Saccharomyces cerevisiae S288C: one gene and its partners. The protein of the gene in region 3 interacts with the protein of the main gene of each other region in a biochemical or structural test. Each region holds a gene or a part of one and is shown on either strand. Other genes may lie near its edges. The genes, in order: RVS167, ARP2, LAS17 and YSC84.

The links.
Region 1: the proteins of LAS17 (region 3) and RVS167 interact in a test that uses a peptide from one of them, tested with the Saccharomyces cerevisiae proteins (4 studies listed by BioGRID, with this or other methods).
Region 2: the proteins of LAS17 (region 3) and ARP2 form a complex in vitro, tested with the Saccharomyces cerevisiae proteins (4 studies listed by BioGRID, with this or other methods).
Region 4: the proteins of LAS17 (region 3) and YSC84 interact in a test that uses a peptide from one of them, tested with the Saccharomyces cerevisiae proteins (4 studies listed by BioGRID, with this or other methods).

The regions. Positions count from the first base shown.
Region 1 is NC_001136.10:1,246,807-1,254,560, forward strand, and holds RVS167 (amphiphysin), read left to right. Parts: upstream 1-3,379; coding exon 3,380-4,828; downstream 4,829-7,754. Other genes in the region: MUS81 (Mus81p), read left to right, coding at 1-1,176; CIN10 (Cin10p), read right to left, coding at 1,348-3,015; GTPase-activating protein SAC7, read left to right, coding at 5,731-7,695. UniProt on the Saccharomyces cerevisiae protein: Component of a cytoskeletal structure that is required for the formation of endocytic vesicles at the plasma membrane level.
Region 2 is NC_001136.10:396,126-403,624, reverse strand, and holds ARP2 (actin-related protein 2), read right to left. Parts: upstream 4,286-7,499; coding exon 4,264-4,285; intron 4,141-4,263; coding exon 2,987-4,140; downstream 1-2,986. Other genes in the region: serine/threonine/tyrosine protein kinase MPS1, read left to right, coding at 334-2,628; SF3a splicing factor complex subunit PRP9, read right to left, coding at 4,496-6,088; ATP-dependent RNA helicase DBP10, read right to left, coding at 6,421-7,499. UniProt on the Saccharomyces cerevisiae protein: Functions as ATP-binding component of the Arp2/3 complex which is involved in regulation of actin polymerization and together with an activating nucleation-promoting factor (NPF) mediates the formation of branched actin networks.
Region 3 is NC_001147.6:672,181-680,266, reverse strand, and holds LAS17 (actin-binding protein LAS17), read right to left. Parts: upstream 4,329-8,086; coding exon 2,427-4,328; downstream 1-2,426. Other genes in the region: SER1 (O-phospho-L-serine:2-oxoglutarate transaminase), read right to left, coding at 1-910; FYV12 (Fyv12p), read right to left, coding at 1,006-1,395; 40S ribosomal protein eS30 RPS30B, read left to right, coding at 1,474-1,476, 1,888-2,076; putative dodecenoyl-CoA isomerase DCI1, read left to right, coding at 5,100-5,915; cleavage polyadenylation factor subunit SYC1, read left to right, coding at 7,856-8,086.
Region 4 is NC_001140.6:134,009-141,573, forward strand, and holds YSC84 (Ysc84p), read right to left. Parts: upstream 4,448-7,565; coding exon 4,401-4,447; intron 4,233-4,400; coding exon 2,873-4,232; downstream 1-2,872. Other genes in the region: MIP6 (Mip6p), read left to right, coding at 546-2,525; YSC83 (Ysc83p), read left to right, coding at 4,686-5,843; argininosuccinate lyase ARG4, read right to left, coding at 6,003-7,394. UniProt on the Saccharomyces cerevisiae protein: Essential for the organization of the actin cytoskeleton, fluid phase endocytosis and vesicle trafficking, together with LSB5.

The DNA of each region.
Region 1 (7,754 bases), on a different chromosome or scaffold from region 3:
ACCAGGAATGAAAGTAGTGAATTCACAGCAAATCTGACTGACCTCCGTGGTGAATATGGTAAGGAAGAAGAGCCCTGCGATATAAATAACACTTCATTCATGCTGGATATAACTTTTCAAGATTTGAGCACGCCGCAAAGGCTGCAGAACAATGTATTTAAAAATGATAGACTGAATAGCCAAACTAATATATCTTCTCATAAATTGGAAGAGGTCTCTGATGATCAAACAGTACCTGATTCCGCATTAAAGGCTAAAAGCACAATAAAGAGGAGAAGGTACAACGGAGTAAGTTACGAATTGTGGTGTAGTGGTGATTTCGAAGTTTTCCCAATTATTGATCACAGAGAAATAAAGTCACAATCTGATCGTGAGTTTTTTTCAAGGGCATTTGAAAGAAAAGGTATGAAGTCAGAGATAAGGCAACTCGCTTTGGGTGATATTATATGGGTTGCCAAGAATAAAAATACCGGGTTGCAGTGTGTGCTCAACACCATAGTTGAAAGAAAAAGGCTAGACGATTTAGCTTTAAGTATAAGGGATAACAGGTTTATGGAGCAAAAAAATAGGTTAGAGAAATCTGGCTGTGAACACAAATACTATCTCATTGAGGAGACTATGAGTGGCAACATTGGAAATATGAATGAGGCCCTAAAGACCGCGCTTTGGGTCATTTTAGTGTATTACAAATTCTCCATGATAAGAACTTGCAATTCGGATGAAACTGTGGAAAAGATACATGCGTTGCATACTGTAATTTCTCATCACTATTCTCAAAAAGATCTCATAGTTATATTTCCAAGTGACCTTAAAAGCAAGGACGATTATAAAAAGGTGCTTCTACAGTTTCGTCGAGAATTCGAACGAAAAGGCGGTATTGAATGCTGTCATAATCTTGAATGCTTTCAAGAACTAATGGGAAAAGGCGATCTAAAGACGGTTGGTGAGCTAACTATACATGTTTTAATGCTTGTTAAAGGTATATCTTTAGAAAAAGCAGTAGCCATCCAAGAAATATTTCCTACCCTGAATAAAATACTAATGGCATATAAAACGTGCTCCTCGGAAGAAGAGGCTAAATTGTTGATGTTTAATGTACTGGGAGATGCACCTGGTGCGAAGAAAATTACTAAATCTCTTTCAGAAAAGATATATGATGCTTTTGGTAAACTTTAGCAATTTGAAATATAGTCATCCCTGCAAGGTTTTATAAAGAAAAAAGTGATGATATTCTTTTAACTAATATATACATATATAAGAAAAGAAGCCTTAATTTCTCACGGACAAATATACCAGAAGCATATCTGAAAGCCGCCCCAATGCATTATGATGCCACTTGACAACTCATCAATGGTAGGTACGAAAGACATAATGAACATCAATTCCATTATCAAAAACCCTTCCAACCTCTTCCAGTGACAAACCTTTGACTTCTGGATACCAAAAATATACGAAAAACCAGGCACAAACTGTGAAAAAAGCAAAAATGAGCATTGTATTTTCATCACCAATGGTGTTAATAGTGCTCAGATATGTCATTGAAACAAATGCATTGGTCAACCAATTTGTGCAGGCTATACATGATGCCCCAAATGATCTCCTGTTCAAGGGGAGAAATTCCACACAGGTCCATGGAACGCTGCCCATCGCAGAAGCATATGCTGCAACATAAATTACAACAGAAATTAAAAGTAAATTGACTTGGTCATGACCGAAACCTACACTGCAAAGAAGTAACCCAACAGTCATAATCAAAATTGTTCTCAAAAGAATGGCTCTTCTTCCCAAAGAGTCCATGGTGTACATGGCGAAAAAAGTGAATATGAAGTTCGTTGAGGCAATCAAAATTGGAGGCAGTAGAGGGTTTTTTATATTAAATTTGGAAAATATTATTGCCGCATAGTACATAAAAGCATTAAAGCCAGTGATTTGCTGGAAAAACATTAACATGCAACCTACTATTAACGCTCTTATTGTGCGTGGCTCCATTCTGTGTCTTTTCTTTTTGTTAGATGCCAGGGCACCGTTTGGAGCTGGGCCTCGCAACGCCGATAGATATGCTGATGAGGAGGACATTGTGTTGCTAGTTCTTTCTGTGTTCGAGGAAAGTCTTTTAATGTTAGGTGGGCTAAGAGTTCCTGAGGTTGAACTATCCATGTATCGAATAACCGATTGGGACTGTACTAGTAAAGGTTCACTTGCATCTTCGTATAGTCGTAACTTATCGAGTTCAATTATCAGCTGCTTAATTTTACTATTCACATGATATGTAGATGCAGTAGGATATAGCATTCTTAGAGAATCCCTGGTATATAGAATGTCTCCCTTGGAAATGGACCATCGTGGCGATTCAGGGATAAAATCCAGTATTGAAAGGAACAGAATAGCTGGAATAGCAGAAAGTGCGAACAAATATCTCCATGAATTATCAATCTCTTTCATAAGGGACGCAATCACATAGGAAACCAATTGACCTCCAGTGATGGCAATAATGTTCAATGTCAACATAAAACCCCTGATTCTGGAAGGTGAAATTTCACTCAGAAATAGAGGGACGCACTGGGCAGACACTCCAACAGCGATCCCAACCAGCAATCTCCCACAAATCAAAAACGTCAATGTTCTTGCTATAGCCATTCCAATTGCAGCTAGGATAAAAATTGAACAGCAGATTGCGAGAGTAATTCTTCTTCCATACCTATCTGCTAAAGGAAATGCCAGAATAGAGCCAAAAAATGATCCGACGCTTGTACTGGAAGTTATCAGCTCCTTCTGAACATCCGTTAAAACTACCAAAGATAGATCTTCGGGCTTTAAAGAAAGCAGAACACCTGATATAACACCAGTATCATAGCCGAATAAAAGCCCACCAATGGTAGCACCAACGAAGATTAACGACGTTTTGAACGTTAAAGCATATGGGAGTTGCTCGATGTCATTGGCAGTATTGGATGTTACCTGGGAGATAATGGAATACAGATCAGAATAAACGTCTTCACTTTCATCTGTAGACATACCTCTATCAAGTTTTGACTTTCCTGTCGCTTGCCTGTACGCTTTTGTTTTCTACTGAGAAAAGATACTTTTTGACCATGGACTATAAGTGCACGCTACAGTTGCACATATAAGGTTGTATATAGTTCAAGAAGTTCCTTTCGTATGGAAATTTTGTTATGTATACCTTCCAGTTGCTATGGTAGTCTACCTGACTAAATTATCAATCCGACCGATGTTCGGATGTTGCGATAATATTGGTACCGGAAAAAAAAAAGGAGAGGGCTTTGTAGTGTCGATGTTTAACAACCTGTTTTAAGGAATAAAGTAAAGTGAGGCTCACCTGGTCATTTAACACCAAGAATCAAGGAGCCAATAAGTGCACATGAGTTTTAAAGGGTTTACCAAGGCTGTTAGTAGGGCTCCTCAGTCCTTCCGTCAAAAGTTCAAGATGGGTGAGCAGACAGAGGATCCTGTTTACGAGGATGCAGAACGTCGTTTTCAAGAATTGGAGCAGGAGACAAAAAAATTAAGTGAGGAATCGAAGAGATACTCGACTGCGGTGAATGGAATGCTGACACACCAAATTGGATTTGCCAAATCCATGGAGGAAATTTTCAAACCTATCAGTGGTAAAATGAGTGACCCTAACGCTACCATACCAGAGGACAACCCACAAGGTATTGAAGCAAGTGAACAGTATAGGGCAATTGTCGCAGAATTACAGGAAACATTGAAACCGGATCTGGCTTTGGTGGAAGAAAAAATTGTTACGCCATGCCAGGAACTGTTGAAGATTATTACTTATATTCGTAAAATGGCCACCAAGAGAAATCACAAAAAATTAGATTTAGATAGACATCTAAACACTTATAACAAGCATGAAAAGAAGAAGGAACCAACCGCCAAAGACGAAGAAAGATTGTATAAAGCACAAGCTCAAGTGGAAGTGGCTCAACAAGAATATGATTACTATAACGACTTGCTAAAGACTCAATTACCAATACTGTTCAGTTTGGAAGCTGAATTTGTGAAACCATTATTTGTCTCATTTTATTTCATGCAATTGAACATTTTTTACACTTTGTATAATAGACTTCAAGACATGAAGATTCCATATTTTGATTTGAACAGTGACATTGTAGAGTCGTACATTGCCAAGAAAGGCAATGTGGAAGAACAAACGGACGCCTTGACTATTACACACTTTAAACTCGGTTACTCTAAGGCAAAATTGGAGATGACCAGAAGGAAGTATGGTGTAGCAACCGCCGAAGGCTCACCCGTCAGTGGCGCATCAAGCGGTGTCGGATATGGTGCTGGGTATGATCCAGCAACTGCCACTTCTCCAACCCCTACAGGATACGGTTATGGTGCCGCAGCACCAAGTTACGCCGCTCAACCTGCTGCCCAGTATGGTACTGCTGCCGCCGTTGGTACTGCTGCTGCTGTTGGTACTGCTGCTGGTGCTGCTGCTGGCGCTGTTCCGGGTACTTATCCACAGTATGCTGCTGCGCAATCTCCACCGCTCACTGGGCTAGGCTTCCAACAATCACCACAGCAGCAACAGGGACCACCACCGGCCTACTCTAATCCTCTAACATCACCTGTTGCGGGCACACCAGCCGCGGCCGTAGCGGCAGCTCCTGGCGTTGAAACTGTTACCGCATTGTATGACTACCAAGCTCAAGCTGCTGGTGATTTGTCTTTCCCTGCCGGCGCAGTTATAGAAATTGTCCAGCGTACTCCGGACGTGAACGAATGGTGGACAGGAAGATACAATGGCCAGCAAGGTGTGTTTCCTGGGAACTACGTGCAACTCAACAAGAACTAGAGGAGGCCCCTGCATCCCTCTGTATTCATTACCTTCTATTGTGAGATGTTACCATTACCTTTTTCTTTTATTGTAATGTTTCTTAATTTAAATACTATATAGGGTAATTCATCCTTCCACCAACAAAGTATCGTTTGAGTCTATCTATTACGGGCATGCGGCGAGCATATTACCCTACTGACAATATCCCAAAAGGGAAGGAGCGCGTTCCCAATAGGGCTGCCACCTTCCCAATATGGTACAAAGCCTACCATATGGGGAAATCAGTTTTCTCGCTCACCTCGCCTAGTCTTCCTAAAACGACGTTCCTCAGTCTCCTTTCTCTTTTATAAAACACCATCTCTGTCTTGTCGATGACACAGCCCAGTTGGGAAACCGGTGCTGACAAACAGGAAAAAAGCAAGACTAGTGGCCTGGCGCGGAAGAAACTGAGCTACATTGCACAACATCTTCAAGCAGGGTGTACGCATTCATTACTTTAATACTAAATTTAGAAGAAATCATCCTTTTTACTCGCGAAACTGTTAGGCTTGATCGGACGATCTCAGAAGAGGAAAAACAAATTGATAAAGTCTTCGTTAGGTTTCCTAGAATAGCAGGCCCGTTACAAAAAATTTTTTTACCCATTCCACTGGTTTTATTCACTAGTGACTTGAAAACTCCACATATTTTTGATCTCTTAAGCTTTCACGCATCACAAAGTTATCAGAACAAATTTTCTCCAGAAAGTTATATTGCAGTGTTCAAAAAGCCGTTCTCATTTCACAGCAATTTTTTTCTAAAGTAGAGGGGCAGAGAAATTAGCCTTCACAAGTTTGCTTTCGAGCTTCCAATTTGATTCCTGCTTTGGTCTTACTTTCATCCTCTCAATACCACTAAGATAAACTAAAAATATCTTTATAATGCCAAATAATACTCTTAAACAAGGCTCCAAAATTGAAAATGTTTCTCCCTCTAAAGGTCATGTCCCAAGTTTTTGGAAGCAGTTCATAAACAACCCTAAGAGTATGTCATCCGAAAATATTACAGTCCCTAGATCACCAACTTCTCTTTCAAGGAATGCTCAACCAACTACTTTAAAACGGCCTCCATTATCTTCAAGACCATATTCATATAATACCCCAACCAAAGATAGGAAATCCTTTTCCAAATCCGCGAAACAGAACAATAACAATAACAACGCTAATTCCGGAACATCGCCTCACGCAGAGTTCAAAAATTACAGAGATATGTTTTTATCTAATAGAAATGGTTTCACAGGTAGGGTTTTCGGTGTTACTTTAGCAGAATCGTTGAGCGTCGCCAGTGCAGAGGTCATTGTTCAAAGTGAGTTGGTGAGTTTTGGTCGGATACCCATCGTGGTAGCCAAGTGCGGCGCATACTTAAAAGCAAATGGATTGGAGACCTCGGGTATATTTCGTATAGCGGGCAATGGTAAAAGAGTAAAAGCCCTTCAATACATATTCTCGTCGCCACCTGATTATGGTACCAAATTCAACGATTGGGAAACATATACAGTGCACGATGTTGCATCGCTCCTGAGGAGATACCTTAATAATTTGGCCGAACCACTAATACCTTTATCCCTATATGAACAATTCAGAAACCCGCTACGATCTAGACCAAGAATCCTAAGGCATATGTTGACCCACGAAGTTTCTCATCCGAATGCGAATAAAACAAATAATGTAACAGTAAAATCAAGTAGACAGAACTATAATGATGATGGTGCTAATGATGGTGACATCGAAAAGGAGGACGCTAAAGATGATGAAGAAAAAAGACGAAGAAAAATACGTCATAAGAGAAGGCTGACCCGCGATATAAGGGCAGCTATCAAGGAATATGAAGAGCTCTTTGTTACCTTATCAAATGACACGAAACAGCTAACTATATACCTACTCGATTTACTGAGTCTTTTTGCAAGGCAATCACAGTTTAACCTAATGTCTGGTAGAAACTTGGCGGCCATCTTCCAACCTTCAATATTATCGCATCCTCAACATGATATGGACCCCAAAGAATACGAGTTATCCCGACTAGTAGTGGAATTTTTGATTGAATACTCGTACAAGCTATTACCCCATCTTTTGAAGTTGGCTAAAAGGGAACAACAGGAACGGTTGTCAACCGAAAATAAGAAAAATAATGGAGATAAACAGAAAACTGATCCTATAGAAATACCAAAGATCACCTCATCGGATTCGCCACCAATAGTTTCTTCCAATAAAAACCCACCGGCGATTGACAATAACAATAAACTAGACCATACGACGTTATCGCCAATATCTACTTCGATACCGGAGAACTCATCAGACCTACAGACTTCAAAAATGTTAAAGCCTCCGAAGCAAAGAAGACCACACTCAAAATCGTTTGGTTCTACTCCGGTTCCTCCGGATGTTATTGCTAGTAATAAAAGAAGAACGAGTTTATTCCCGTGGTTACATAAACCGGGAATTTTGAGTGACACAGGAGACAATGGCGACTTAACTGCTACTGAAGCTGAAGGTGATGATTATGAAGAAGAAAATGTTGATCCATACGGTCAGTCTCCATCTAGCGTACACTCAGGTTCTTTGCCCAAACAGCATTATCTGCCAATTCCTCGAATGAACAGATCGTTGAGTGGAAACAGTACCAATTCGTCCTTTAACACTAGACCTATTTCAATGATCCTGACCAGTGGTAATGATAATTCCGCTGATCAATTAGAATTACTAAGTAACACTCATAGCAATAATGAGCGCAGTAATGCTTTACCATTAACCGAAGATGATGGGGATGAAAGAAATTCAAGATCACGCAAGAGGGAATCATGGTTTCAAAGACTAACAAGCCGTTCAGGCTCTGCTAACAGGGCTTGATAACACCATTTTTCTTTCCTTTTAATTTCCTCATTTTTTTTTTTTTCGTTATTTCCCTT
Region 2 (7,499 bases), on a different chromosome or scaffold from region 3:
CTGACCAATACCTTTATTTATGGTGTGCAGTGACACAAAATAATTTTTGGTGTCACTTCCATCGTATTAAATGATAATATCAATTAGAAATAGTAAACAAAACCAAAAAAAAACTACCAAGGGTTGCAAAGAGTAATAGTGATGTTTATGTGAAGGCAAGCTTAAAGAGAATTTAAGATCTACTATATTAATAGTAACCTACAAAATTTATAGAAGCCTACTTGACCCAGCCCACTGAAGTCTGAATAGGAATATTGCAGTTGTTTATAGAAGTAGCTTTACAACCAAAATAATAAATTGTTTCTGCAAGAACTGGATGATCTCAAAACAAACATGTCAACAAACTCATTCCATGATTATGTGGATTTAAAATCGAGAACTAATACACGACAGTTTTCAGATGACGAAGAGTTCACTACGCCTCCAAAACTAAGCAATTTCGGATCAGCTTTACTTTCCCACACAGAAAAAACTTCAGCATCAGAGATATTATCAAGTCATAATAATGACAAGATCGCAAATCGATTAGAAGAAATGGACAGGAGTTCATCAAGGAGTCACCCCCCACCGTCAATGGGCAATTTGACATCCGGTCATACTAGTACCTCATCGCATTCAACCTTGTTCGGACGATATCTGAGAAATAATCACCAGACTAGCATGACGACGATGAACACTAGTGACATAGAGATAAATGTTGGAAATAGTCTTGATAAGAGTTTTGAAAGGATAAGGAATTTGCGACAAAATATGAAAGAAGATATTACGGCAAAGTATGCTGAAAGGAGAAGTAAGAGATTTTTAATATCCAATAGGACAACGAAGCTGGGTCCTGCAAAGAGAGCGATGACTTTGACAAATATCTTTGATGAGGATGTGCCTAACTCTCCAAACCAGCCAATAAATGCAAGGGAGACAGTGGAATTACCACTTGAGGATTCTCACCAAACAAACTTTAAAGAAACGAAGAGAAATACGGATTATGATTCAATTGATTTTGGAGATTTGAATCCTATCCAGTATATTAAAAAACATAATCTTCCCACAAGTGACCTTCCACTAATATCTCAAATCTACTTTGATAAACAAAGAGAAGAAAATAGACAAGCAGCACTCCGAAAACATAGTTCCAGAGAATTGCTTTATAAAAGTAGGTCTTCTTCCTCTTCACTTTCTAGTAACAACTTATTGGCAAACAAGGACAATTCTATAACATCCAATAATGGTTCTCAACCCAGGCGAAAAGTTTCTACTGGATCATCTTCATCTAAGTCATCGATCGAAATAAGAAGAGCTCTCAAGGAGAATATTGATACTAGCAATAACAGCAATTTCAACAGCCCAATTCATAAAATTTATAAAGGAATTTCCAGAAATAAAGATTCCGACTCCGAAAAAAGAGAAGTACTGCGAAACATAAGCATAAATGCAAATCACGCTGATAATCTCCTTCAACAAGAGAATAAGAGACTAAAACGATCATTGGATGATGCAATAACGAATGAGAATATAAACAGTAAAAATCTAGAAGTATTTTACCATCGACCTGCTCCCAAACCTCCAGTCACCAAGAAAGTTGAAATTGTTGAACCTGCAAAGTCCGCTTCTTTATCGAATAATAGAAATATAATTACAGTAAATGACTCCCAGTACGAAAAAATAGAACTTTTGGGTAGAGGTGGATCCTCCAGAGTTTACAAGGTGAAAGGATCTGGCAATAGGGTATACGCGCTCAAAAGGGTGTCTTTTGACGCTTTTGACGATTCAAGTATTGATGGATTCAAAGGAGAAATAGAACTTCTGGAAAAATTGAAAGACCAAAAGCGTGTAATCCAACTACTAGATTATGAAATGGGGGATGGTTTATTGTATTTGATAATGGAATGTGGTGATCATGATTTGTCACAAATCCTTAACCAAAGAAGCGGCATGCCACTGGATTTTAATTTTGTTAGATTCTATACAAAGGAAATGTTGCTGTGCATTAAAGTAGTTCATGATGCGGGCATAGTTCATTCGGATTTAAAACCTGCAAATTTTGTTTTAGTGAAAGGTATCTTAAAAATCATTGATTTTGGTATAGCAAACGCGGTACCGGAACATACGGTGAATATATATCGTGAAACTCAAATTGGGACTCCAAATTATATGGCACCAGAAGCACTAGTTGCTATGAATTACACACAAAATAGTGAGAACCAACATGAGGGAAACAAGTGGAAAGTGGGGAGACCATCTGATATGTGGTCATGCGGTTGTATTATATATCAGATGATTTACGGGAAACCCCCATATGGCAGTTTCCAAGGCCAAAATAGGCTGTTGGCTATTATGAATCCTGATGTGAAAATCCCATTTCCTGAACATACTAGCAATAATGAAAAGATTCCAAAGTCTGCCATTGAATTAATGAAAGCATGTCTGTACAGGAACCCAGACAAAAGATGGACTGTGGATAAAGTCCTGAGTAGCACTTTCCTTCAACCTTTTATGATATCCGGATCGATTATGGAAGACCTTATTAGGAATGCCGTTAGATATGGCTCTGAGAAGCCTCATATATCACAAGATGATCTCAATGATGTGGTAGACACTGTTTTAAGGAAATTTGCAGATTACAAAATTTAGAAGAGCCGCATAAGGAAGAAAAGCATGTGCCAGTTATGAACATAAATACATTTAGAGTTTGCCATGCATGTACTGATTTATTTACTTTGATCAACTCTTTTTTACATATTTATATATATTCATTTAAATAAATCATCAATCAATTTTTCGACACAGACACTGAATACTTGAAATACCAAGAAAAGGATAACTATCCTCTAACGGCGCTCAGTGAAATATTATATTTTGATTGCTTGTTCAACAATTGTGCCTTATTAACTTATTACATTTATATATAAGTTTATATTATTCCATTTCCATTTTTCATTCGTAGATTTAAACTTTTTTATTAATTCTTTTGGATCAATAAAGTTCAAATCTATCTTGGACCAAATTTAGTCATTGCAGATGGCCCGCTTTCTTGCCATTCTTGCTTAGACAACCACATGTGGTCTTTATCAGCCATGATACTAGCTAAAACGGCACCACCAATGAAAACCATATGCTTTCTCCTTGGAGGATCTTCAATTCTAACTTTGAATTTATCAAGTCTTGAAGGGTCATTGTGTAAAACTCTACTAAACCATAATTGTTTCAATTCTTTCTCTAATCTCGAAGGCAGCCCTGGGTACATACTTGAACCACCTGAAAGAACAATGGCCTTATACAGGGAACTTCTGATATCAACATCAGCCGATTGCACAGTATTAAATAACAGCTCGCCCACGCCAGGTTGTTCAACGTCAACCAAACCAGGTTGGAACAAACATTCTGGTGCTTCAAATCTCTCTTGTCCCACTTTGATTGTCCTGCCATCTGGTAACTCATACGATTCCACAAGGGCGGTTGTTTCTCTAGCCAATTTTGTATCTAGGTCTAAATCATATGAAACATAACATAATTTTTCCTTTATCTGACGCACAGTTTCGAAATCTGCAGTTCTGTTAAATGCATAACCACGACGAGAAAGCAGATCAATCAAATGCCTAGTAACGTCTCTACCCGCAACATCTAATCTTCTTGTTAAGTGGCTCAAAACGACAGATTCGTAAACTGGGACTATATGAGTAACACCGTCACCGGAATCGACGACGACTCCTGAAGACAAACCTTGTGCGTACAATGCTAGAACAGCTTGGATGGCAACATAAACTCCGCCAAAATCGTATTTTTCGAACATTACCTCACACATTTTTTCCCTATTTTTCAGCGGATTCATTGGAGGTTCCGTTAGTAAAATCTTACCGTTGGAGGTGGATGGTAGTTTCATTTGCTCGAAAAAGGCGTAATCCCAAAGAAGTTCCATATCTGTCCAATTCTTAATAATACCGTTTTCCATAGGATAAGATATTTGCAGATAAGAGCGAACTTCACTTGCCTCATCACCAATCATAATGTCCTTTAATGGTGTAGCAACGCTGGCACGTTCTTCCGCCCTCAAGATGGGTCTACCAACAATAGAAGGAAACGTGTAATCTGGGAAATTCTCGCCAGCACGACCAATTTTGACGAAACCAGTACCCTGATCAAGGACTATATCGAGATGGTTAGTATTAATAATATAGGGGTAAAAGAACTAAAATGCAAAAGAGGCAAAGCCAAAAGGGGCACCGAGCTCAATTGCCTCCACAAACACTAAAAATATCAACAACATACCAATTGGATTATGTGGGTCCATTATTATTATATAGTTTTGTTAGTTTATTACTGTGATTTGTCTTCTGGTACGTATATTTAACTTTCACGTCCGTTTTCTTCCATTATATGGGTCCTCAAATTGTTTTTCGCCTTTCAATTCTACAAGACGGGTAATAAGGTCATTACTAAGAATAGTATAAATACATACAACTGCTATCTATCAAACAAATATACATATCACAGAGAGATTTCACACCAAACCTTGCTTCTTAAGTTCATCGTAGACCTTCTTACTCATTACATTTCCTTCTTCGTCTTCTTCTTCTAGTTCTAATTCTGTAGGAACTTTTAGTTGTGAAGGATTAGGCTTTGGGGGAACTGCTGCAATAGATGTCAACTGTGACTGCCCCTGCATATTTTTCCAGAGCTCTTGTGCCTCCTTAATTTTGGTTATGCCCTTGAATACTGAAGAAGGTTCGATACCAAGGCATCGCAAGTGATAAATATGTCTTTCTTCGTTGAAATGTCTTTCAAAAGTGCGTCGCCCATTATAAACTTTATTCGAACAAATTTCGCAGCGATACTCTCTGTCAAGCCCATGCAGTTTGTATAGCCAGTATGGCATAGGCAATCCATCCGGACCCAATGGCATGTCAAACGATTTACCAGAGAGGTGCTCTTCTTGCAGTTGACCATCTCTCTGCTCACCATCCACTTGTTCGGCCCCCTCTTTTTCCGTCGAATCATATGCAGGTGCTTCATACTTCTGTGTTAAGATATCCATTTCTGCCATTCTTTCATTTGCAGTAAATGCCAGTTTTCTTTCAACAAAACTTCTCGTTCGAGAAAATTCATCATTTAAATATTTCAAATACCGATGCAGTTTATATTCAGAGTACACAAAATTTCTTCTTTTAGATTCATTTTTCTTATGAATTTTCCCTACTAAATGGCTTTCGAAAACGGAAGATGTCTTGAACCACCTCGAACAAAAAGGGCAATAGATACCTTTTGCCTCGGACCGAAGAGATCCCCTACAGTATGAATGTTCGAAGTCAGATTTGATTAGATTTTCAACTGCCGCAGCGTCAAGCAAAGCATAACTTTTGAAGAAAAAAGTTTCTACATATTTGCTCAACTTTAGCAAAAAGGCCATGTATCTATCATTCTTGCGATCCATCGGTGGGGTTAGCAAATATTTCTCGTCGTCCAAAAATAATTCTAGGATGTCGAGAAATTGAAGCAGTGAACAATCGCCCCGTTTAATTACATTCAACCATAAAGAATGAAATTGTTCCAGCTCCATATATTCACCATATTGCTCATCTCTAGTAAATATTTCATTTAAGTCTAGGTCTCGAGCTCTGTCAGACAATATATTTGTGCGCCTCGATGGATCAGAAGAAGATGAGAATAAAGCGTATTTGTCTTTTTTAGAGTTGATATCCAATTCAAAGTTCTCATCTTCATTTTTCAGTTCCTTCTCTAGCTGTTGTAGTTTTCTTTCGAAATTAGGCAAATCCTTGTCATCCTCCTGTGTCTCTTCTGGACGATTGATTTTATTAAAAGTTTGTTGTTTCTCTTGGTAGTCTCGAAGAAAAATATTTATCTCATGTTGCTGCAAAATTATCTGTTTTCTCTTCCTCTTAACCTTTTTAAACTTGTATATTTTATTCTCTGCAATCAACGATGATCTAGGCAGTTTAGTATCAGGAAACACCTTGCTCGATTCTTGTATATAGTGGTAATATAACTCTGGATTCCGCTGAATTCTTTCTGCTATGGCATTTTCAATAATCTCCATCTCCTCCAACAAGGACCTCCTTGTTTCAAGTAAATTCATTGAGATGATGCCCTCCTACTCCTATTAAAGCAAAATTAAATGAATGTATACACCCTCGCTTGGCTCACCGAAGGTTCTTGATCTACCGTATAACTAAGTACTTTTTATTGCACTTCGTCAGCCGATACTTAACACTTCTTTGTTGCCTCATCGGAAAGTTAGAATAAAATGCGCTACAAAAAAAATATTGAACATGACTTACATCGACAAAATACTGAAATCACAAAGAACTACAAAGAATTATGAAGAACGGACTCGCTATCTATTTTTGTTTTCTTGCTATGGTACATATGTAAACTATATATCTGTAGATCTAGATGGTTTTAAACTATCTAAAATTTACGCTTTTTGGAAGGACGAGCATTCTTCGCACGTTTTTTCTCTGCTATAATCCTGTCCTTTCTAATTTGCTCAGTGGACTTCAATTCGCTTCGCAGACCCGGAGCGTTATTATATCCCTTGACGGAAATTCCACTTTGTAGAGCCTTTTCCACCTTCTTCTTTTGCGAATAATAATTGTCTCTGTGTTTATCTGGCATTTTAGGCGCTTTCATTTGTTTATGCTTGAATTTCCCACGGACGGTTCTACCATTTGCAGCAGGACCTTGTGAAGGGTCTTCGAGCAAGTTAGATGGTATGCTTGTTTCTCTCGAACCTACCTTCAATGGTTTCAAATTTCTTGCCTTCGACCAATCATCAAATCTACCAGACCTGAAGCTTGCCGCGATTTTTTGGCCACTTTCACCAATAATATATTTCTTGTTATCAATACCTTGAGTATTAACATATTTTTTTCTTTTTTTATCCCATTTTACGGTCGCTGTTTGCTTATGAACTTGCACTTTATCATCGCTATTTAAATCGTAAGCCGCTTGAGCAGCATCATTAGCGAACCCATTGGTTATCTGTAATTGTTTATCTTGTATGTCACCAGCTGGCGCATAGTGACTTAAAAAGAAAGTTGGATCCTTAAAAGACTTCGGTTTCTTTTTCTTTTTGTTTTCGTTTTCCTGTGCTTCTAATAATTGGTCCGCATCTTCAAATTCTTTTAAGGCATCCTCTGACACGGTGTAACCTGTCTCACCATCGTCACCTTTCAAAATTTCATCTTCGATAGAATGTGAAAGACCAGCCATTCTTTCCTTTTCTAATAGTTCCCTTCTTTCAGTCGCCTTTCGTTGAATTGGCGCTAATTGCTTTCTTCTCCTTTTCATAAACACTGCCATTTCATCGTCTGGGTTTCTGGTGAACTCAAATACCGTTTCCTTGTTTCTTCTGTTTTGCAATTTAGCCAAAAAATCCAATTTTTCCTTCTCTTCATTTTTACCAAAAAATGCATTTTGAGCATCCCAGCCAGAAGAAATGATCTCTTTACTTCTCTTTAAAGATTCAGGGGAGGCGGAAGTGCGTG
Region 3 (8,086 bases):
TTTCTTCATTTTCAGCCTGTTGCGCTTCAACACCACCCTTCTTCAAAATATGTTGGAACACGAGATCCATAACATGTAAAGTGAAAATTGGAATTGTATTATAGGCTGAGTTGTTCTTCACCACCGTTGGATAGTCGAATGCAATAGGGGTGATTGGTACTCCCAATTCATGTAATGTTTCATCAGAAGCGCCAGAAATATTCTTAAGGATGGATTTCTTGATAATGTATAGGGTTAAGCCTGCTAAACCAATGTTTTTTTGGGCGCCTGCCATGATGACACCGTATTGAGAAACGTCAATCTTACGAGACAAAATGTCGCTGGATAAGTCAGCAACAATTTCGATGTTGGGGTCGTTTACTAAACATTTTGGTAATTCTGGCCATTCAACACCATGAACAGTTTCATTCTCACATAGGTACACGTATGAGAAAGCCTTACCTTTGATTTTATCTTCCCAAAGGGATTCATCCGGAATTTTACCAAATTTGCCATTGTTATAATCTTTAGCGTTGAAGATAACTTCAGCAGGAACGTGCAATCTCTTTGCCTCTTCAAAAGATTTCTGAGACCAACTACCGGTGACTAAATAACCGGCAGGTGCAATCTTCCCATGCTTACCCACATATGCAGCTGCCAAATTAGTAGCAACGGAAGAAAAACCAGTAGTGCCACCACCTTGCAAGTAGAACACTTCATGAGTGTCAGGAATATTTAGCAGTTCGATTAAGTGCTTCTTAGAGTCTTCAATCACTTTGGTGGCATCCTTCGAACGGTGAGAAATTTCACCGATACCCAAACCTATGTCATTGAAATTGATTAAGTCTTTAGCAGCTTGTTGCAAAACTGGTGTAGGCATTTGAGCTGGCCCTGCTCCGAAATGTTGTGGTTCCTCTCTTTCCAAAGACATTGTTTCTTATCACTAATGGTTAATCGATGATTGATCAACTAATTAGACCTGTGTTGTTCAATTAAGTAATTTCAAAGGCTCCTTAATGTCTTTGTCTATTTTATGAAGGCACTTATATATATACATACATATAAAACGTATAAAAGAAAAGTAGTCATTAATTCGCGATGCTTAGAAAGAGTCACTACTTTTGGGCGTACAAGGTAAGAATAATTTGAATGGTAAGCTCGTGACCAAATTGTGGCTGCAGTTAAGGTGCCTCGGCCGGTGTCAGGTAAATTAATGCCGTCATCCGGGTTTCCTGTCCTTATTATGGCTTTTCTTTTGGGACCATACATCCGTACATATTGTGGACCCATTTCTTTTTCGCGCAGATGTTTTTTGCGTCTTCTGCTTAGCGGGCAAGGGTGACCGAGTTTCCCATCTATGCTGCATTTTCCTCCAATTAGTTTTGTCCCGTATTCACCATGGTGAAGTAATCTCATCCCAATCTTCAATATTAAGGATGAAGATTCTGAATTAGCACTCCTTCCTCAAGATACTAGATAAACAAATTATACAAAATGGTACGTTAATATTGTGTTAAAATGCTCCACGAAACGCTTTTTTTAGGAAACTTGTCCCCATACAGGAAGAAGGTGTATTAAAAGGGAAAACTACGATCAAAGTAATATTTTGAATAGGAAAGATTGCCCCATGATAATATTAATAATCCATCAAATGCCTGTAGATAATGACTGAAAAATGAAAAGAAAATAAAATATTGTATCATTATTATGTTGAGATGTAAATGTACAAAAAAGGAAGAAAGACGAGAATTTCAAAGGACGATTATTCTCGTTAATATTCACAACATGTTGAATATAGACCTTTCCTAAAAAATTAGCGTCTGCGTTGCAGTAACTCCATAACACAAGTCTGAATATCTCATTACTAACATTAAATGAAAAATTTTTTTTTTTTCAAATTCTCCTTAGGCTAAAGTTCACGGTTCTCTAGCTCGTGCTGGTAAAGTTAAGTCTCAAACTCCAAAGGTTGAAAAAACTGAAAAGCCAAAGAAACCAAAGGGTCGTGCTTACAAGAGATTATTGTACACCAGAAGATTCGTTAACGTTACCTTGGTTAACGGTAAGAGAAGAATGAACCCAGGTCCATCTGTCCAATAGATACTATCTAAAATTCTATACTTTTATTGTTCTACATGTGTAATTAAACAAAAATATTATAATTAGGAAATATTTACCCTTTTTACATGGGTTTTTGATTCGAACTGCTAAAATCTAGGATTTACTATACATCATTTTCTCAAACATTTGAAACGGCCATAGGGATGGCCATCATTGTAGCCCGACTATTACCTTGATCATTCAATCACTGACCGCCTTTGAACCTATATCAAAATTTCCTCCGATTAAAGAAACTATACATAAAAAGAGCAATTACTTTGATCATTAATAGTGAGTACATAAAATTACATATTTTCTATAACAGTAGTTTCATCTTTGTTTGCATTCCATTACCAATCATCACCATTGTCCATATCGTCATGAGCTCCCACTTTAGTTTTTCTTTTGTTTAAAGCTGCTGCCAACGCATCTGCTAAAGAAGCCGGAGGTCCACCAGGTGTGCCTCCATTTCCAGCCGCTGCTGGTGGTGAAGCAGATTCTCCACGTGCTTCCTGCAGTAAAACTGAGGGCTTATCTAGCTGCGATTTGTCAACTTTTCTCAAAGCGCCTATGCCACCTGCCCCTCTAATTGAAGCTAAAAGTGCATCACGACCTGCATCTCCAGTAGTTTCAGCGAATGAACCGCCTCCGGATGTTGATGTAGCTGGCATTTGAGGAGGTGGGGGTGGAGCTGGAGCTCCTCCAGATTGAGGTTGTTGAGTTAGGAATGCTGGTGGCGGAGGTGGTGCAGCACTCGTCGTCGATGGTAACGTTGGCGGAATAGGTGCTGAGGGTGCTGACTGAGGTATCTGCGACTGGCCTAAAGATGCCGGAGGAGGTGGTGGTGCCACTGGCACATTTGTGGCTTGCGAAGGTGCTTGAGTATTCTGAGGAAGGGGAACTGCAGGTTGTCCAGTTGCTGCAGTCATTTGTGGTGTCAGGGTATTGAAAGTTGTCACTGGAGGAGGGGGTGGAGATGACATGTTGCTATTTGTCTGATATCCAAAGGGGCGGTTAGAATTATTGTACTGTTGTGGATTTTGTTGCATCGTAACGTTTGGTGTGGGGCGAGATGCTCTTGGAGGAGGTGGTGGTGCTGGCCCTCTTCTTCCAGTGGCCTGTGGAAGGAGGCTATTTCCACCGGCAGAATTCAGGGTATTACTGGTTACGTGCCTATGTGGTGGAGGCGGTGGTGCTGGCCCACGCCTTGGCGGAGGTGGAGGAGCAGGTAGGCGAACACCTGAACCTTCAGTAGTGGTACGCATTGGCGGAGGAGGTGGCACAGGCCGATTATTTCTGTTAGGCAACTGTGGAAGGGGCCTATTCTGCTGTGGTATGCCCATTGAAGGAGCTTGATTAAACTGCTGCTGAGGTACCGGAAATGGAAATGGGTTTGTTGCAGACTGTGTCGAGGGAATTTCAGGAATTGGGAATGGAAATGGATTGCTTTGGGGTTGCGAAGGCGCGTTATTTTGAGGTGGAGAGTTATGTTGTGGAGGGTCTGGTAATGGCGCAAACTGATTTGGTAAAGGCGGTAAACTATGCTTTGGATGCGTTTCTTCTTTTCTTACTTCAGGAGATGCAGGAGGAAGAGCAGGGGCTGGGGTAGTCGGTGCGGATGCTGTTGTCGAATTGATATCGGAAAATGAACTTGTTTGGTCTGAATCAAATGTTTCGGCCGTTGGCGGAGGAGGGGGAGGAGCCTTATGCTTTGTAGTTGGAATTGTGTCCACATCTTCATAATTATATCTTTTCCTTTGATTGTCAATCAATGACTCCCCTCTTGGGCCGTGCACCACTTGAGATTTTTGTTCTTCTCTTACTTTCTTGGTTAATGCTACAGCATTTTTGTTCAACAAAGTTTTCCTGTTAGCATATCTTTCACGCTTTTGAACTCTCTTTAAAAAGTGCGATGCTTCATTAATATCTACAAACAATAAACCTGCAAAGCATTCTTCCATCTCAAATGTATGAAAAAAAGTACGGTCTTGATAGTATTCAAAATTCACATACAATTCTTGGTCCCAGATAACTCCTCTATGGCCATTGATGTCAACTAATTTCAAAAAAAAAGTATTCCCCACAAGATCGTCTACTAGAGCAAGAGCTCCTGAAAGTCCAGTGTACTGCCATTCATTTTTATCAGGGTATGCAATGTATAGTCGAGCCACCGTAACATCAATAATCTTATTCGACGCTTTTGGTAGAGCCCTTTTGATAATTTCCTTATCTGAAGAGTTTAGGAGTCCCATATTAAATCACGCCTATCAACACTTAAAGTAACGAACTGTAATTTGTAGCGGAGATGGCAATCGCTACAGCACTTCCTTTTCTACTATGTATATTCTACATTCAATATTTATTATTACATATTCATGATTTTTTTTCATAGGTATTGACTGGCCCCTTTTCGGACGTCTCGCACGTATTCAATGATCATATAAACTATTTGGAAAATTCAAAAAAAAACAACTATAAGATCAGTTAAGACTTATATCATAGATCTTTTAAACCAGAGACACAATTTCAAGTACCATGGGCAACTGCTTGCATTGCATTTAGTTTTGCCTTTTTTCTAATTGCAAAAGAAGAGTATTCCAAAACCACTTCTTTGATAAATCGTCCACGTCAGCCGGCGTTACTTGAAACTAAACGCATACTTTATGAAAAAGGGCCATCAACTTGTCTTTTTGTTAACATTCATTTTGAAAATATGAACTTTGGTATAATTGAAAATCTAGCATATCTATATTTTTTGAATATATTTAGGCGATAACTTAAAAAAGCATTGTTTCAGTTCTGAAGTTTGTTGCTTGTTTCTATTCTTTACTGGATGTCTGAAACCCCAAAAAAAAAAAAAAAAAAAGGACTCCACAAGTAGCGGCTGTAAGCGCGCTAAACTCCGACAGTGTATTATATATACGTAAACGATCCTGATAGAAAAATCCAATCCATTACCCCGGGATTATTTTATTACAGAGTAGGATTTTCTGGTGTTAAGTCTAGTGAGTTATCTTCTAACTATGAGCAGTCGTGTGTGCTACCATATTAATGGTCCCTTTTTCATAATCAAATTAATTGATCCAAAACATTTGAACTCTTTAACTTTCGAGGATTTTGTATACATTGCACTATTACTGCATAAGGCAAACGATATTGATTCTGTTTTGTTTACTGTTCTACAAAGCTCAGGCAAGTATTTCTCCTCGGGAGGTAAGTTTTCAGCAGTTAACAAGCTAAACGATGGAGACGTTACAAGCGAAGTGGAGAAAGTCTCAAAGCTGGTATCTGCTATAAGCTCTCCTAACATATTTGTGGCGAACGCATTTGCAATCCATAAAAAGGTTCTGGTGTGCTGTTTGAATGGACCGGCCATCGGACTTAGCGCATCGCTAGTTGCTCTTTGTGACATTGTTTACTCGCAAAACGATTCAGTATTTCTTCTTTTTCCCTTCAGCAATCTCGGTTTTGTCGCAGAAGTGGGAACTTCTGTTACCTTAACTCAAAAACTGGGTATAAATTCTGCAAACGAACATATGATTTTCAGCACACCAGTTCTATTTAAAGAATTGATAGGAACTATTATTACAAAAAATTATCAATTGACAAATACTGAAACATTCAATGAAAAAGTTCTTCAGGACATAAAGCAGAATTTAGAAGGGCTTTATCCGAAAAGTGTACTAGGTATGAAAGAATTGTTACACAGTGAAATGAAACAGAAGCTTATCAAAGCACAAGCAATGGAGACTAACGGAACCTTGCCTTTTTGGGCAAGCGGCGAGCCATTCAAAAGATTTAAACAGCTTCAAGAGGGAAACAGGCGCCACAAGTTATAATAATATAGCATTTAGAGATAGGATTTTAACATAAAAAATCTACTACACGATCATACTTCTGCAATTGTTAAATTCCGGGTTCTTTAATACTTTAATGTTGGCGCACAATATTTTATATCTGTTGTAAAATCCGCTTACAATATAAGTGAAATTGTTCCATTTTGTTTCATAGGAATTCTTACTCAAAAAGGATGTTTTTTAATATTCATATAATATTTACAAATAGCTCTCTGAAAAAAAGGATTTTTTTTTACACCTAATAAAACTGTCATTCATGTTAAGTAACTAAAGTGCTTCACAACTGTACTTAATGAACTGAATCAATTTCCTTGGCAATGCAAATTCTTCCAGACAAGAGGCGGCCGCGGCGGTATCTCTAGAAAATTTGGCAGCCGCACAAAAGGGTCCTACTGATGACGGGCTGGCAAACGGCGCTCTCCAAGGCACAAACTTTGTGACAAAATAGAATCCAGCGGCAGAGATCCGGATAAAAATGGGGGAGTGGACTTTCAAAAGCCGTACACCTCTTGTACTGAGGACAAATAATACAAGTTAAACTTGAATATTTAGATATGAGACAAAATGCTAACGCACATTCTCACTCCTAAATACTTAATTTCGAAGTCTGCGTTCCAAGATATGTAAGCCATCCATTCATACGGGATTGATGGAAAAGTCAGTAAATTTACAATACCCCTTTTATTCTGTTTGATGTGACAACTACTCGAAATCTGCGTAGTAATAAATATAACCAAAGGGAGTTCTAAAGAAGAAAAAAGGAACTCCCCAAAATAGGTCAACGATTACGAAAATTTTTATATGTTTGTTGGAAGTATTCGAGGAATGAAAAGAAAAATGGGTAGCAAACTGGGAATAACTGAAATAGAACCAAACGTCATCTTTTTAGAAAGAAAGGCATTCTTAGAATCATGATATGCCGTCCTTCGACCATATTGTGACCTAAGCTTTTTCTTCGACAATTGATACTGCATAATCGAAGGAGGATAAAAAAGTTGTTACGATAGTATTCCTTGAATGCACTTGGACTATATATACATGTTTATATTAGACGCATCTTTGACATTTTGCTTGCGCTAACCTTGCAGGTAAGGAGAGCAAAGGGAAAATGCATCGAAAAAAAAAAAATCGTGCTATTTTCGCTAATAACTATGCAAAATCAAGTGAAATGGTGTTTCTCGAAAAAGGTCACAAGCGCAACTTTATTTTCATGGTATATTCAGAATTTATTTTAATGATCGAAAAAAATTGGCCTAGCAAAGTAATCATTCAATAGTTTAAAGGCGGTTGCGGAGGATAGTGACAGAAAGAACTTCAGAAAAAGGTCCCTAGCCTAAAAGGAGCCATCACTATTAATGAACTCTATGAAGTTTCTGCTAAGAGAAAAGAATTTAGCCGATGTTTTGTTCAACTGCGACGCTTAGGGAAGAAAACATCGAAATATCGCAAGTTGTGTAACCCAGGCCACTCAAAGTCGAGTCTTTAAAAGTAGTGGTTTTATGCATATGTGCTGTTGTTGTTTTCCGAGAGGGATGCATATGAAATCTAGCCGAAAAGGCGATATCGTAGTATACAATGATTATGTATTTTTTTTGATTTTAATTTTTAGATAACCGACGATGGGGATAAAAGATATAAATCATAATGGTATCAAGCATCGTTGCTACTATGAAAAAAGACTTTATGTGATAAACATGCTTTATCTAATCAATTCACTTACTTCTTTACAAAATTCACTCATTCAACGATAGAATAAAATAGTCTCAAATTTGAGATTTTTTTTTTTAACTTCGGATGTTCTTCTTCGGGAAAGGAAGAAAGCAAGAAAAACAAGAAAAAAATAAGAGGAAACGGAGATAAAATTGCATGTCTGCACTATGACTGAACAAGAGCGGCTCACGTAATTTGCATTATAACGTAAAATGGATTTACCCAAGGACAAAAGTGACAGAACTCATCAAAGAATTAATCTAAATAACAGTGGGACAGATCGAACTAATGATTTGTACCTTCATATTGTCCAAACGTTCGGTTGCATAGAAACAACTGCAACGGAAAATGCCACGAAACTGTTAATGCTGGGTGACGTCGAAGTAGAAATATCTGCGAGCAGCGTTTCAATTGAGTGGACACAGAAGTCAATGATAAGCCAA
Region 4 (7,565 bases), on a different chromosome or scaffold from region 3:
AGAATCTGTATTTCGACATAAGGTTATTATGATTATTTCTCCTTCCGTTCTATATTTTTCATTACCCTATTACATTGTCAATCCTTGCATTTCTGCTTTCATTAGAATTGATGACTGTTTCTCAATGTTTATGCCATCTTCTTACAACTTATTTGACAATAAACTAGTAGCGTGAGTACTAATAAACGGATGATATTTTGAAGTTTCATAACAACAATCAAAATTTGATGTATTTCATTAAAAATTGATTGATTTTGGGTAATGCAAGGATGACGTATTCGATCATGATTTTCAGATCGACCAGTAAGTTCCGGTCCTATAGTGTAGTGGTTATCACTTTCGGTTTTGATCCGGACAACCCCGGTTCGAATCCGGGTAGGACCTTTTTTTGCTAAAATGAACTTGTGTCACAAATTCCGTTCGAAATGGCGGTCCTTTTCCAATAAGTTTTCTTTTTATGGCATTTTTAGCAATTAGAGCTTACTTAACATAATGAATTATCCAAGTCAATAAAAGCAGAAATACGAAAAATTCCCTAAAAAAAGATGCCAAACTCTCATGGTAATGTATTGAATAATATCTCTTTAAATAGCAAGCAAAATCCCAGATCGATTTCTAAAAGTTGCCCAAATGATAAAGATGCAAGGCAGAAAAGCTTCAAAACGATATCAGCCCAAGCACTAGTACGCGTGCAAGGAGCTGGATATAAGCTCGGTGATGTGAAATTAAAGGATGCTGAAGTCAAAGAAAAGAATAGCCTCAAAAAATACGATTGTAAAAATGCAACTCAAGAAAAGAAAGAACAAGAGCAAGTATTTGAAAAAACTGTTGCAAAGGGAAGCGTGCAAAAATATATCACGAAAACTTCAAAGACAAATAGTTTGTTTATAGGAAATCTGAAATCAACTGTCACTGAAGAAATGCTAAGGAAGATATTCAAAAGGTATCAATCTTTTGAATCTGCTAAAGTGTGTCGTGATTTTCTCACCAAAAAATCATTGGGTTATGGCTATTTGAATTTCAAGGATAAAAACGATGCAGAATCTGCAAGGAAAGAATTTAATTATACGGTTTTTTTTGGTCAAGAAGTTAAAATAATGCCATCTATGAAAAATACATTATTTAGAAAAAACATCGGAACAAATGTTTTTTTCTCTAACTTACCACTGGAAAATCCCCAACTGACCACAAGATCATTTTATCTAATAATGATCGAGTACGGAAATGTACTGTCATGTCTTCTAGAAAGAAGAAAAAACATTGGGTTCGTTTATTTCGATAACGATATTTCTGCTAGAAATGTAATCAAAAAATACAATAACCAAGAATTTTTTGGAAATAAAATTATATGTGGATTGCATTTTGACAAAGAAGTAAGAACTAGACCTGAATTTACAAAAAGAAAAAAAATGATTGGCTCCGACATAGTTATCGAAGACGAACTATTGGCTAGCAATAATTTATCAGATAATGCTCGTTCGAAAACAATATTAGTCAAAAATTTACCATCTGACACAACACAAGAAGAGGTCTTGGATTACTTCAGCACTATTGGCCCCATAAAATCTGTATTCATCTCTGAAAAGCAGGCGAACACACCACATAAAGCGTTCGTCACATATAAAAATGAAGAAGAATCTAAAAAGGCACAGAAATGTTTGAATAAAACAATTTTTAAAAACCATACCATTTGGGTTGGTCCTGGTAAAGATAAGCCTGTTCATAATCAAATTGGAACGAACAAGAAAACAAAGGTTTATCTAAAAAATTTAAGCTTCAATTGCAATAAGGAGTTTATTTCTCAACTATGTTTACAAGAAAAAATAAGATTCAGTGAAATTAAGATCACAAACTATAACTCATTAAATTGGACATTTTGTGGACATGTTGAGTGTTTTTCTCGTAGTGATGCTGAGAGATTATTTAATATTTTGGATAGGAGACTAATTGGAAGTAGTTTGGTTGAGGCATCATGGTCAAAGAATAATGATAATATACTAAATGAGATAGACTATGACGATGGTAACAACAATGAAAATTATAAGAAATTAATCAACATTAGTTCCATGATGCGTTTCCGCACACAAGAGTTATCAGCTCATCAAAAGGGATTAACGTCACAGTTTCAACAAGTAGTTTCCCCATTCTCATCATATTCAAATTCCTACACAAACATGAACTCTCTCGTAGCTACGCCGATGAAACCTCATCCAGCATTTAATTTAATTACAAATACTGTTGACGAAAAACTGCATCAGCCTAAGAGAACTAAACAGGAGAATGCAGAAATACTTGAGTCCTTAAAAAAAATTATAAACAGAAATTTACAACGTATAAGTATTTCTGGTTTAAATAAAGAAGAAAATCTGCGCAGCATTTCCGAGTTTATTTTTGACGTATTTTGGGAGCATGACTCAGAAAGGCTATCGCACTTTTTATTAATGACAAATACTTCATTAGAATCACAGAAAATTCTACAAAAACAAGTCACTAGAGCTGCTGAAAGCCTCGGATTTACAGTTTGATTCCTTTTAAAGGAAGAAGGCAGGTTCATCAATATGCAATTTTCGGTACAAAAGTACGTATGTCTATAAAAATAGAGTATTGTTTTCTTTGCTATCTTAATCTACCCAGAATTATTCCAAGGAGTTTCAGCCTCGATTTTTTTTTAGTTTAATGGCGTATAGTCCAGTTTCAAGAAATACTCCACCTACTAAGTGAGTACTTAAGAAGTGGTTCCTCGAAGCTTTCCATTGTGATTATATAACTACAAACATTTCGTAAACATAGCTGAATAAGGAACCCATCCTCAACTTCATAACTCTAAAAAAAAATTCTATATATAGGAACGAGACATATGGAGGACGATAATTTAAGAAACTCTAACGTAGTTTGCAGGGAATATTCCTTCTTTTCCGTTAGTCCTGCCTGTCCACCAATCATTTTGAGAATCTGATTTTTTTAAGATAGTAATAACATCACCTTTTTTGAAAGCCAAGTCGCCTGGTTGTTCTCCAGCAAAATTGTAGAGAGCAACAGCCGTTGGTGTCGCCGAATTTGTAGCAGTGGATTCATTACCTAACCCTGTCTTCGACATTTTATGTGATAAATCATCGACATTGCTCATATTGCTGGGGTGAGTTGGGCCATGACCAAGGCTATAACCCCTTTCTCTACCATAACCACGCCTATTTCCTCGGGTATTATCATAATCCCTACCGGAATGGTTGGGACGGGAGTATTCAGTATCTCTATCATACAAATCATCTTCCCATCGGGTATTCGCACGCGGCTTAGTACCCCTATCTATCTGTGGGCCTCTATTGCGGCTGCTGTTTCTATTTGGAGATCTTCCGTAATCATAATCTTCATCTTCGCTATCAAAATCTCCATACCCGCGACCACGTCCGTAACCATCATCATCATAATCATCATCATAACGACTGCGTGACCCCAGCGACATTCCTCTTCTTCTTGATGATCTTGTGTTTGGACGTGTTGAGGATTCATCAGTAGAATCAAAGGAATCTGGAATATCGTCGTAATAATGGCTTGTGTTGTCGCTGTATTGACCGTCATCATAAAAATCATCACCGCTAGCGTTGTCATCATGGTCGTGGCGTGTAAAGTTGAACGCTCTTGATTCCAAGATACGGAGTAGGGGGTCTGCTGCTGGTGGAACTTTTACTCTACCTGACAAAATCATCTTTGATGTACAGTTATCGCCGTAAAACTTTCGATTAGCTTCCCTTCTCTCCAAGATGGCTGAACCTTCCACAGACACACCGGCAAATAAACCTTTGCTTTTGGAATAGGCAAAAACTGCCGAGACACCACCTGTGGATGCAGAAGCTGCAGCTTCTGCACTTCTTCCAAGAGGACCTGCGGAAACTGACACATTACCACCTAAAGTAATTGTACCAAATTCAGAAAAGGACCTCACTGCCTCTTCCGAATTTAAAATAAAAACAAAATCTGTCAATTCAACGCCGACCATACCACCTGCACCAGCACCTGCCATAGCGATAGCAGAGGGAGCCGACCATGTACCGTCTTTTAACCTGGCCACAATCACCCCAGAACCTGCTCTCCCTGAAAACAAGAAGCCAGCCTTTAAAACCGTGATAATTGCTAGACCTTTAGCTCTTTTTAGCACATATGGTGGAATAACTTGGTCTGCTCCAAATACTTGATTTGGTTTAACAAAACTCCTTAGAACTTTCGCGGCCTTCCTGTAGTTAAAACATTCGAAATAAATCAATCATAAAGTTGTTAGTACATTACTTTTGAAAACTCATGCCCCATAAGCAATGGACACAGACTAGAGAGCTATCTTGAACATTTTAGCTGCATCCATAAGTTTAGAGGAGGGGCAGCAGGAAGCATATATATGAACATACTTGGTCTCGCTTTTCAAGCTTCGAGGAATTGGATTATTGATACCCATTTTTGGATTTTGGATTTGATATTACCACTACTCTTGAAAATTTTACTGTGAAGTGTAAGATAGTTTCATGTTATAGATAATGTTAAGAACAGGGTCTAGTTAGGGGGTAGTCAACTTTAATTCCCTTCAGGTCGTTTTCGGTCAGCGTCGGAACATGTAAAAATGTTGTAGGTGGCATACAAACAGGAAATATAAAACAGACAACAGAAGATATTTGCTCTCAAAAAAACAAATAAAAATGGCTTGGTCTGGTGGTAAGGATATAGTGGATCAGATATTTGATGCTGGGTATTGGCTCGTCTCGAAAAGCGCTGTCTTGAGCGATGAGATCAAGAACCACGTCGAAAAATCAATTGAATCCATATCTGGAAAGATATCCAACAAGGAGACTCCTCGACTACAGGAAAACGACAGTAACAGATCTAAAGTATATAAAACTTTGAGGATCGGGCTCCAGGATCATTGGAAGCTAGGCTTGGGAATTTCTGCCACCTCCCTGTGCTTATACCTTGGGTATAGGACCTTTTTTAAACTGCCACCTAATTTACCTGAAGCAGAATCTCAAGTGGTATTAATACTGGGCGATATGAATGATCCTATCATAAGGAATCAAGTGATGGATTTATATCGCAGACGGTTTACAGTATATATTTGTACTGAAAATGCAGACGTCTATAAGAAGCACGAAGAAGATCAGGATTTCATATATTACATTGATCCCACCTGCGAAAAAGACTTCGAGGGTTTTTTTGTTGATGTACCAAGGCTAGCATCCATATTGTTTATGCCAAGGTTATCATATCATCCATCCGGAGTAATTTCATGTGACTCATTGGAATCTGAAATTCATTCAAGTATATTTGTGTATTATCAAGCATTATTAAGCATTATACCCCATTTGAAGAGAAAAACCCAACTAATTATGTTCAATCCATCTTTGACTGCGGACCTGAACTTAGTCCATCATAGTACAGAAATTATAACGTCTGGAATAATCGACTCACTATTTAAAATTTTCAAGGAATATCAAAGGTTAAATGTTTCCACAATCAAGCTTGGAATCCTGCAGATTGGGTCACAACCATCGAACTATAAATTTTTGAGAATGGCCGGTTCAGACATTCACGAGGCCCTACATTATCCAGTTTACAAAATGATAATGAGTGCGAATGGGTATAAACTAAGACAACTGCTAAGTTGGTTAACGACTTTGGGAGGTTACAATAGTGTGTATTATTGCGGCCGTTTTAGTTATTTAGTCTCATGGCCATTTGCTTCACTTATATTCAACCATCACACACGTCTTTCCCTGAAACGCTTGAGAGGAAGATTAGCCAAGGTATATAGCAGCATTATTTCGTTTTTTTGCCGGTCATCTTCTAAATCATCCAAATAATATCCTTGATTAGATAACAATTGCTTATCTACGTATATATATACATAGCACAATCTCGAAAATATAATACTAATAACAAAATAAGTATTTAAAGAAGGGTTGATGAAGTCCTAGAAGTACCAGACCTGATGAAATTCTTGCGCATAACGTCGCCATCTGCTAATTTAATTGGGATTTCAAATTATCCAATTGCTTCAATACAGCAGATTTAGCGGTTCCACCAGTAGCATCTCGTCTTTCAACGCTTTGTTCAAAGTTAAAAGTTTCAAAAAGATCTTGTCCGAATCTCGAATCGATCTTTTGATACTGCTCCAAGGTTAATTTATCAATACCGCTTAGACCAAGTCTTTCAGCAGTAGCGACACACTCACCAGATATGTGATGAGTCTCTCTGAATGGAACACCCTTTCTGACCAAGTAATCTGCCAAGTCGGTAGCTAGCATATCCATCGTGAGAGCAGCTTCCATCTTTTCCTTATTTACAGTTAAGGTAGAAATAACACCTGTGGCAATCAGCATGGAGTGCTCTACAGTTGTTAAGCAATCGAATAGTGGCTCTTTGTCTTCTTGCATGTCTTTATCATAAGTAGATGGGATACCCTTCAAACTCATCAAGAATCCTGTCAGATCACCAAATACTCTACCGGATTTACCTCTTAACAACTCTAACGAGTCTGCATTCTTCTTCTGAGGCATTAAAGAAGAACCTGTTGAATAGGCGTCGCTCAACTGTATGAAACCAAATTCTGCTGTACAATATATAATCAAATCTTCAGCAAAACGAGAAATATGGTTCATGAACAAAGTTCCCCAAAACATCAACTCCACGATGAAATCTCTATCAGAAACAGCAACCAAGGAGTTACCAATTACACTATTGAAACCCAAACCTTCAGCCAAAAATTCTCTATCAATGCCGTAAGGATGACCAGCAAGAGCGCCTGCACCCAGTGGTGATTGATTCAATCTGTGTAGTATTTGACCCAGTCTCTTGTAATCTTCGGTGAAGTATGTTGCATAAGAGCTCAACCAATGAGACCATCTAATAGGTTGTGCCCTTTGTAAATGTGTGTAGCCTGGCATTAAGACATCTATCTCACCTTCGGCCCTCTTAATTAGAACTTCAACCAAGCCCTTTAAAGCTGGAAAGAGGGTGTCATTGACAATGTCACGACAGTATATTCTCAAATCGGTAACAACTTGATCATTACGGGATCTACCGGTGTGGACTTTACCAGCAATATCGCGGCCAATTAGTTCACCAAGACGTCTTTCATTCGCAGTATGGATATCCTCGTCGTTTGGATGACGGACAAATTTGTCAGCGTCCCATTCTTTTTTGATTTCAGCCAAACCTTCATGGATCTTTGCCAATTCTGTCTCCGTTAGAAGACCCAACTTCTGCAAGCCCGCTGTGTATACTTTAGTTCCTTCTAAATCTGCCTTATACATCTTATAATCATACGGAAGAGACGCATTGTAAAGGTGCATCAAAGGATCGGTTTCACCAGTGAATCTCCCACCCCATAGTTTTTGAGTGCCGTCTGACATGTTTGCCTTAGTCTTGTTATATAGTTACCTGCTTTTGAGCTCTTCAATTGCGAATATTCTCCCCTAGCTAAAGAAAGGTAGTCTTATCTCAGAGTTCTGTGCTTCGCTGACCTTTTATAATCCTTTTTTTTTTTTTTCACATGTTTCAATTTGCGCCAGCTTATCCAAAAA